Neurospora crassa OR74A: one gene and its partner. The protein of the gene in region 1 interacts with the protein of each later gene in a pairwise test. Links are inferred from orthologs where the notes say so. Each region holds a gene or a part of one and is shown in the gene's direction. Other genes may lie near its edges. The genes, in order: trp-2 and trp-1.

Region 1 (4,469 bases):
ATCATCGGCAGATGCAAGATGCCCTCCATCATGTACAATTACATCACCGGTCCCAATCTCTACCAAGACGAGATTGAAAAGCCGGCAAACATGTATGGACATGATGAACAACATTGGTTCCTAAGATGCCAGGGACACATTTCTTCAAGATGAAGGACCCTTATAACTAGCCTTCACCCGCCTGTTATACTCGGGAGTCTTCACAACAGTCTTCACATTCCATCACATTGAAGAAGCGAGAGCACCAAGTCCGCGAGTCAAAACAAACCATCAACCATGGCTCCCCTACCACTCCCACGCATACCCGCCTCAACGGCCGAGAAACTCCAAGACTTTGTCTTCAAACGGATCGTACACCCAGCTCTCCAAGGAGTCGAAGCCATCCACCCTACAAGAACCTTCAGCCCCATCACCCGGCGGCAAGATGCCCCGCCCACCGCCACGGTAACCTTCGTCCAAGTCGACAACGACAACGACAACGACCCTGATGACGCGCAAACCCTCAGCGGCGGCGCCATTGCCGGCATCGTCATCGGCTCCATCGTCGGCTTGCTTCTTCTCATCTGGATTATCCGCAGCTGCTTCAACCTGGGCGCTCCACCGACACACGGCAAGCGCAACAGCAAGGCTTGGTACGGTGACGTGAGGGATGAATACCCGCCCAGACACGTGGGCGGGGTGAGACACTCACGATCGAGGTCGAGGCATTCGCATAGCCATCATCGGGGTCATTCTAGGCACCGGAGCCATTCGAGGAGGTCGTCTTCGATGCGCGAGGTGCCGGTTGTGGTGGCCTACCCGACTCATGTGTATGATGATCGGAGGGGGAGGAGCAGTAGGAGGAGTCGGAGTCGCAGTGTTAGTGTTTCGAGGTATTAAGGGGAAGAATGGAAGCTGATTGGGAGTATGGGAAGGAGAAGCTCAATTAGGATGATAGAGCATTGCGCCATGCGTAACGGATTGACGAGGCAACGAATTGATGACTGATTGATACGAACATATTCTTTCCCTAAACTGTATAGTGTCCGGACAGAATAACATGTAATGAATAATGAACAGACACTGGTGTCTTGGATAGAAGCCGGAACAGTCCTTCAATAACATCAATACAGCGACTTTTCACTTAGACACTAATCGTTAGCAGGAGGCAGTGCAATATGTGAAAACACTAACAGCGTCACTTGGTGCATGATGTACACCTTTGATGCCGGCTTATCGGCTTATCGGCCGTCAAGGTTGCGTTCAGCCAGGAACAAACCCCGCCCTTCCGGCACCTTTTGGCAGGAAGCCCCACTCCGTGAGTCACCAAACGCGGCAGGCGGTGTAAAATTATGTATAGCGTTGGAGGGCAAGTGGAAGCATGCCACTTTCACGGCTGCGATCGATGGCGTCCCGTCTCCTCCGCGACCGGTTCATTCAGTTGTCACTTTGACATCCATCCACTGACTCTTTCCACTTGTCTCTGTGCCAATTCCACCCAGGGAATCCCCTCCTGTTCCTGTTTCCGTTTCTGCCTTCCTTTGCTTAGACGTTACAGTTCAGTTGTTCAGGATGGCTGCCCTCGACATCAGGCCGTCCCTGGAGGACGCGCGCAAGCTCTTCGACCAGACATGCCAAGCATCAGCGACCTCGACAGCATCCCCAAGGCCCACCCTTCTCCCCCTCTGCATCTCCTTGCCTGCCGACCTCTTGACGCCCTCGGCCATCTACCTCAAGCTCTCCGCAGGGTGCGTCTTCCTCCCAAACCTCTCTCCCCCTCGCCGTGTGTCCCGTTCCGAATAGCTCAATTGACTCACTCGGCTAGAGCGACAGCTGAGTACTCGTTCCTCCTCGAGAGCGCCACTGGCAGCACCGAGACTGTCGGCCGCTACAGCTTCATTGGCGCCAACCCCCGAAAGGTCCTCGAGACCGGCCCCGGCTACCAAGATGTCGGCGATCCCATGAAGGCCCTTGAGCAGGAGCTCAGCCAGGACAAGGTCCTCAGCATCCCCTCCCTCCGACTCCCCAAGCTGACGGGCGGCGCTGTCGGCTACATCTCGTACGACTGCATCAAGTACTTCGAGCCCAGGACGGTCAAGGGTCGCGAACTCAAGGACAACCTACACATCCCCGAGGCCCTTTTCATGCTCTACGATACCATGGTTGCGTTCGACCACTTCTCCTCCGCCTTCACCGTCGTCACCCATGTCCGACTTCCCGAGGACCCCTCCGGCGACTTCGAGGCGGCCTACAACGCGGCTTGCGACAGCATTCGCTCGACACTCGAAGTGATCAACCAGCCAGAGACGCCGCTCCCGCCCAAGGACTCTAGCGCTCCCGTCGCCGATCAGACATTCGCTTCGAACGTTGGGCGCCACGGTTACGAGACCTTTGTGACGGAGCTCAAGAAGAACATTGTCAAGGGTGACATCATCCAGGCCGTCCCATCCCAGCGCTTCTCTCGCAGCACCAGCCTGCACCCCTTCAACATTTACCGGACCCTGCGCACGCTCAACCCCTCGCCGTACCTCTTCTTCCTCTCGTGCTCTGACTTCCACATTGTTGGCGCCTCGCCCGAATGCCTGATGAAGACCGACGGCTATGCCGACCTTCCCACGGATACCCGTTTTGGCTATAGTGCTGCCGAGGCCCGCTCTCGTCCCAGGATCGTCAACCACGCCATTGCCGGTACCATCAAGCGTGGCCTCAACTCGGAGGAGGACGATGAGCTTGCGGCCGTGCTGCTGGCCTCAACCAAGGACCGCGCCGAGCACGTCATGTTGGTCGATTTGGCCCGCAACGATGTCAACCGTGTCTGCCACCCGTCTACCGTCAAGGTCGACCGCCTCATGCGCATCGACCGTTTCTCACACGTCCAACATATCACCTCGGAGGTCTCCGGTCTGCTGCGCCCCGAGTGCACCCGCTGGGACGCTTTGCGCTCCATCTTCCCCGCCGGTACCGTGTCGGGCGCGCCCAAGATTCGTGCCATGGAGCTGATTTACGACTTGGAGAAGGAGAAGCGCGGCATCTACGCTGGCGCTGCCGGTTGGTTCGCCTATGATGTCATTCGCGTCGAAGGTGGTGAGGGTGATGCCCCTGTTACCACTTTCTTGAGCGAAGGACAGATGGATACCTGCATTGCTATCCGCACCATGTTGGTCAAGAATAAGGTTGCCTACCTACAGGCGGGCGGTGGTATTGTATTTGACAGTGAGAAGACGGAGGAGTGGATGGAGACCATGAACAAGTTGGCCGCCAACTTGCGCTGCATCGAACTGGCTGAGAAGTACTACGGCGAAAGTACGGGATCCAAGTCGGTGCAGGAAATCATTGAGGAGGAGAGGAAGAAGGGCGACGAGCAGTACAAGCTGCAGACGATGAGCGCTGGGGCGTAATTGCGAGTATGGTGTATTTGTGTGTGTTGTGAAGGCTCAGTCAAAACAGGATACCAGGTGAATCAATGTTTGAGCTGCAGGCTGAAGCCTTCCCATGATAGGTGTGGTCTGGGTGAAACTCGGTGTCCTTGTCTGCCAAGTCCACTGCTCTGTCCTACGTCCCACCCTGTCGGCGATAACTGTCCCATGAGCATCGATATACCCTTCCCTTCTCGGCGGCCGCCGAATTCTTTTCCCCGGCTCCTATTTCCCCGACTGGCTAAAGCGAACCGGCCAACGGCCTCTCCCTGCTAACACTCCGCTTTCCGGGGTATACACTGTAAGCGCCCGTCTTCCCGCCGCACCGGGACTAAGGCGCCTTTGTAAGATAGTTAACGAGGCCGAGATACTGGAGACATATAACCCTCCTATTCAGCGGCGGGTATTGCATCGGTTAACGTATAGGAGAAGATCTCTTTGTTTTTTTAATTTACCCCCCCAAAAAAGGTGTAAGGTGATTGGAACGGTGACACTTTTTCGGGTGCTACAGGGGCAGTCAACGCAGCAACTAGTGGTGCCACCTTTTTTGTCAGGGCGAGCTTGTCACACGTGAGACCACATCACAGCCTGACATGATGTACTGGCTCGGTTGCCGCGACCGGGAATAGTGGGTCCCGGGTTTGAACGCGCCTTGGGCTGGCCACTCATTCGCGCCCATGATTCTATTCCGTCGTTAAACTTCATCTTGCATTCTTCGAACAACATGCCGCTACTGCATAGTAGTATTCAAACCAACTCATCTCCCCATTTCTTTTACAACGTGGCAAGCCATTTGCCGCTCCATCCTCTATCGTCGAACACCCACCTAACCACGTCCGCACCCTGCCGTCCGGGGTCGTCATCATGGTCCGCACTCGAGCTCAGAGAGGTCAGCCCTTGACAGGCAACCGATCCCAGGGCATCCGCAAAAGCGCACCTCAAAAGCGCCGTCGCCTCCGAGATCCAGACCCAACAGACACGCCACAAGATCAAGCTGGATCAGATCAATCCAAAGTTCCGTCATCTCCAACGGATGGGCCTCGAAAACGAAAGGTATGACAAGCCTGTCCTTCC
Region 2 (4,449 bases), on another chromosome or scaffold:
GGCAGCACTCGAGTGCAGCATGAAGGTTACGAGTGACTCGGCGGAGCTCACGAAGGACCGGCGTTCGGAGAGGTAGTGGGCCAGAATTCGCTGGCGGCGGCTGGCATCCTTCTCAAACTCGGCCCATGTGGTTTCGGCGTCGGCAACGGTGGAGAGGTTGAGGAGGACGAGAATGTTGGAAGTTTGCGCATCACTGACTCCAGCAGCTTCCTGAATATTGTCGATGTCCTGGGTAGAGAGAGGGCCGACGAGGTGGGCTTGTGGGCGCGACTGGAACTCGACTACGACGATGCGCAGGGCGGCAACTTCGCTGATGTTGACATTGGTGCTGAGCCATATGGCGTCGTCCCTGATGGTCTTGATATTGAATCGCTCGTTGGGCGTCTGGGTCACGTTGATGGCGGCGGTCTTGGTCTCGAAGTCGGCTTTCGTCTTGGAGGTCGGAGGTTCAAAGGTCTTGGAGGGGTTCTTGAGCAGGTGCTGGACGTAGGCATCTTTTAGAAAGGAAGAGACGGCATTGCTGGTGATGCGATCGCCCTGTTGGTCGGCAAGGGCAGAAGCGACGAGTTTCCAGGACAGTATTATGTTCTTGCCCGTCAAACACTCCTCCAGCGGAGGGAAATATGTCTTATCGGTCAAGGAGGCCATTGGTGATGAGGGTCTCCATCAGCGGCCGGGACCAAATTTGGGAGAATGGGTATTGGTGGGAAAAGGTTCCCTCGAGAAGCGGTGTTGTCGTCGGGGTCGTCGTCGTCGTCGTCGTTGTCGCTGCCGTCGTGTGGTCGTCGGGTATTTCTGGTCGACGTTCGATGAAGATGGACGAGACAATGATGTATAGTGAAACGAACTGTCGACCGGATGGGAAAGCTACCGTAGAGCTTTGATCCAGACCCGAGTCTCTGTCATATGGCGGCTGCTAATATGTGGTGGGAGAGGGTGTTGACAGGACGGATTGTTTGTGATGTAAATATTTTGGGCGGATTCGAGATTCCGTTGGTTGGTAGGTTGGGTTCCTTCAGTTTGCTTGGCTGCTCTGCTGTGGTATTTGCTTGACGCGCTTTCCTTCCTTGACTGACGCGGCTGGCAATGGTGGTGTTGTGTGCAGGGCACCTGTGAGCAGCAGCAGCAGCAGCAGCAGCGCGGGAGCTTCAACGCTTTTCCCGCCAAAGTCGAAGAATCGGGCGGCCAGAACCACGCGCGGGACCAAAGAATTCCCACTGTGTTTTTTTGCGACAGAGCACTCCACTGCAGTCCCGTCAGTGAGTGTACCACCTATGTCTAGGTAAGAATTTCCACTTTTGGTGGGGCCTCTCTCTTCGATAAGAGATAAGGGATTTCAATGTTTCAAAACGGAACATTCAGAACAACACCGCGCGGTTTGTACGGAATGACGGCGACGCTTGGGCCCTCTATTTTCTTTCTTTCTTTCTTTCTTTCTTTCTTTCTTTTTGTTCTTGATACAAGTTCGCAAAACGGGGGCTGGAGGTAAGGGGACTGTGAAGCTCACAAAGCTCGTAGACGAACATCCGCTTTAATACTTATTCATGTCGGTTTTGGGAAGCCATTGAGCCATTGAGAGCCACTTGCATCCCAGCGTTGAGAGGTGATTTGTAAACGGTTGTTCTAACGCCACTCCTCGGTCACATCTCTCATGGATGGAATTTACATACATTGTACAATACACAGCTCAAAGTAACTCACGCCTAAACATCGAACAAAGTGCAAGTGACTCACTCACAAAAGACACCTTGCGCAAGCACTTGTGAATCGCTTCAGGCTCAGATAGCCAGGTACGTATTGTAGACTCTCGTCATTCTGATTTCACAACAACGAAAAGAGTCTTTCTATTCATGGAGTAGTGATACTAACAGTACTTGTCCACAACTAGCTGTAGGTAGTGCTACTTCAGTTACTGCATCCGAAGTCGGGCGTCTCGGGGTTCATTCGTGTTTCGTTTGGTAATTACACTCAGGCATTTACACCACAGCTGCTGCACCTCGGACTCCTTCAGGAACACCCTCAATACTGCACGGCACTCTCACAAGTCCAATCACAATGTCGTCCTCCTCAGTCGTCGACCACTCTCCCCACGATTCCGCTCCTTCGCCCCTGGTGCCAACCGCCTCCAACCTCATCCTCATCGACAACTATGATTCGTTTACCTGGAACGTCTACCAGTACCTCGTCCTCGAGGGCGCCAAGGTGACCGTCTTCCGCAACGACCAGATCACCATCGACGAGCTCATCGCAAAGAACCCCACCCAGCTCGTCATCAGCCCTGGGCCCGGTCATCCCGGCACCGACTCCGGTATCTCGCGCGATGCCATCAGGCACTTCGCCGGCAAGATCCCCATCTTTGGCGTGTGCATGGGCCAGCAGTGCATCTTTGACGTCTATGGCGGCGACGTGTGCTTCGCCGGTGAGATTCTGCACGGAAAGACCTCTCCTCTGCGCCACGACGGCAAGGGCGCATATGCCGGTCTGTCTCAGGATCTGCCAGTGACGAGATACCACTCTCTTGCCGGTACTCATGTCACCCTTCCCGAGTGCTTGGAGGTTACCTCTTGGATTGCGAAGGAGGACGGTTCCAAGGGTGTCATCATGGGTGTCCGCCACAAGGAGTACACCATTGAGGGTGTTCAGTTCCACCCGGAGAGTATTCTGTCTGCTGAGGGTCGTGGCATGTTCCGGAACTTCCTTCACATGCAGGGAGGCACTTGGGCGGAGAACGAGAGACTGCAAAAGGCCGCCCAGGCACAGGCTGCCAACACAAAGTCCGACGCTCCCACGCCCAAGAAGAGCAACATCCTTCAAAAGATTTACGCCCACCGTAAGGCTGCTGTGGATGCTCAGAAGCAGATTCCTTCCCTGAGACCTTCTGACCTCCAAGCCGCTTATAACCTGAGCATCGCCCCTCCTCAAATCTCTCTTGTCGACCGTCTTCGCAATTCCCCCTTCGATGTCGCTCTTTGCGCCGAGATCAAGAGGGCATCTCCCTCCAAGGGTGTCTTTGCGCTTGATATTGACGCTCCGTCGCAAGCTCGCAAGTATGCGCTTGCCGGCGCGAGTGTCATCTCGGTCCTGACCGAGCCAGAGTGGTTCAAGGGCAGCATCGATGACCTCCGTGCTGTCCGTCAGGTCCTTAACGGCATGCCCAACCGGCCCGCCGTCCTGCGCAAGGAGTTCATCTTTGACGAGTACCAGATCCTCGAAGCCAGACTTGCCGGTGCTGACACTGTTCTCCTCATTGTCAAGATGCTCGAGTATGAGCTCCTCGAGCGCCTATACAAGTACTCCTTGTCTCTCGGCATGGAGCCCCTAGTCGAGGTCCAGAACACCGAGGAGATGGCCACAGCCATCAAGCTCGGCGCCAAGGTTATCGGCGTCAACAACCGCAATCTCGAGAGCTTCGAAGTCGACCTTGGCACTACCGGCCGTCTCCGTAGCATGGTCCCCAGCGACACCTTCCTCTGCGCTCTCAGCGGCATCAACACTCACCAAGATGTTCTTGACTGCAAGCGCGACGGTGTCAACGGCATTCTTGTCGGCGAGGCCATCATGCGTGCCCCTGATGCCACCCAGTTCATCCGTGAGCTCTGCGCCGGCCTGACGGGCCCCGTGCCCAAGTCCGCCGCCGAGCCGCTGCTTGTCAAGATCTGCGGCACCCGTTCTGCCGAGGCCGCTGCGGAAGCCATCAAGGCCGGTGCTGATCTTGTGGGCATGATCATGGTGCCAGGCACCAAGCGTTGCGTCGACCATGAGACCGCCCTTTCCATCTCCCAGGCTGTGCACATGAGCAAGAAGACCGGATCCACCGAGGTCTCCTCGCAAGCCTCCAAGTCCGCAAGGGACTTTTTCAATATCAACGCCGAGATCATCCGCAAGCGGGGACCTCTGCTGGTAGGTGTCTTCATGAACCAGCCCCTTGAGGAGGTGCTCGAGAAGCAGCATCTCTACGATCTCGATATCGTCCAGCTCCACGGTGACGAGCCGCTCGAGTGGGCCAACCTTATTCCAGTCCCCGTTGTCCGCAAGTTCAAGCCCGGCCAGGTCGGTCTTGCGACCCGTGGGTACCATGCCGTGCCCCTGCTGGATTCGGGCGCTGGATCCGGCACGTTGTTGGACTTGGAGTCTGTCAAGAAGGAGTTGGAGAAGGATGAGCAGGTAACCGTCTTGCTTGCGGGCGGATTGGAGCCTAGCAATGTTGTCGAGACGGTAAAATCTTTGGGGCCTCTGAGTGAGAGGGTGATTGGTGTTGATGTTAGCAGTGGCGTTGAGGAGGGAGGCAAGCAGAGCTTGGAGAAGATCAGGGAGTTTGTTAAGGCTGCCAAGTCTGTCAGGTAAAAAGCTTACGGTGCGGTTAAGGCCCAAAAATCAAGTCTCTTTCTTTCGGTATCTCTATATGGGTTCTCAAAAGGTGGAATTGTGATTATGTTCATGGTTCTGACG

The links.
Region 2: the proteins of trp-2 (region 1) and trp-1 interact in binary tests that used the Saccharomyces cerevisiae proteins (3 or more experiments, as listed by UniProt). The link is inferred for Neurospora crassa OR74A from reciprocal best matches to the Saccharomyces cerevisiae genes TRP2 and TRP3.

The regions. Positions count from the first base shown.
Region 1 is NC_026506.1:3,652,752-3,657,220, reverse strand, and holds trp-2 (anthranilate synthase component I), read left to right. Parts: upstream 1-1,382; 5' UTR 1,383-1,551; coding exon 1,552-1,727; intron 1,728-1,804; coding exon 1,805-3,377; 3' UTR 3,378-3,885; downstream 3,886-4,469. Other genes in the region: NCU17136 (hypothetical protein), read left to right, coding at 277-879; NCU05130 (hypothetical protein), read left to right, coding at 4,260-4,448.
Region 2 is NC_026503.1:2,982,451-2,986,899, forward strand, and holds the start of trp-1 (anthranilate synthase component II), read left to right. Parts: upstream 1-1,603; 5' UTR 1,604-1,790; intron 1,791-1,808; exon of another isoform or gene 1,809-1,888; 5' UTR 1,889-2,055; coding exon 2,056-4,344; 3' UTR 4,345-4,449. Other genes in the region: NCU00199 (hypothetical protein), read right to left, coding at 1-648.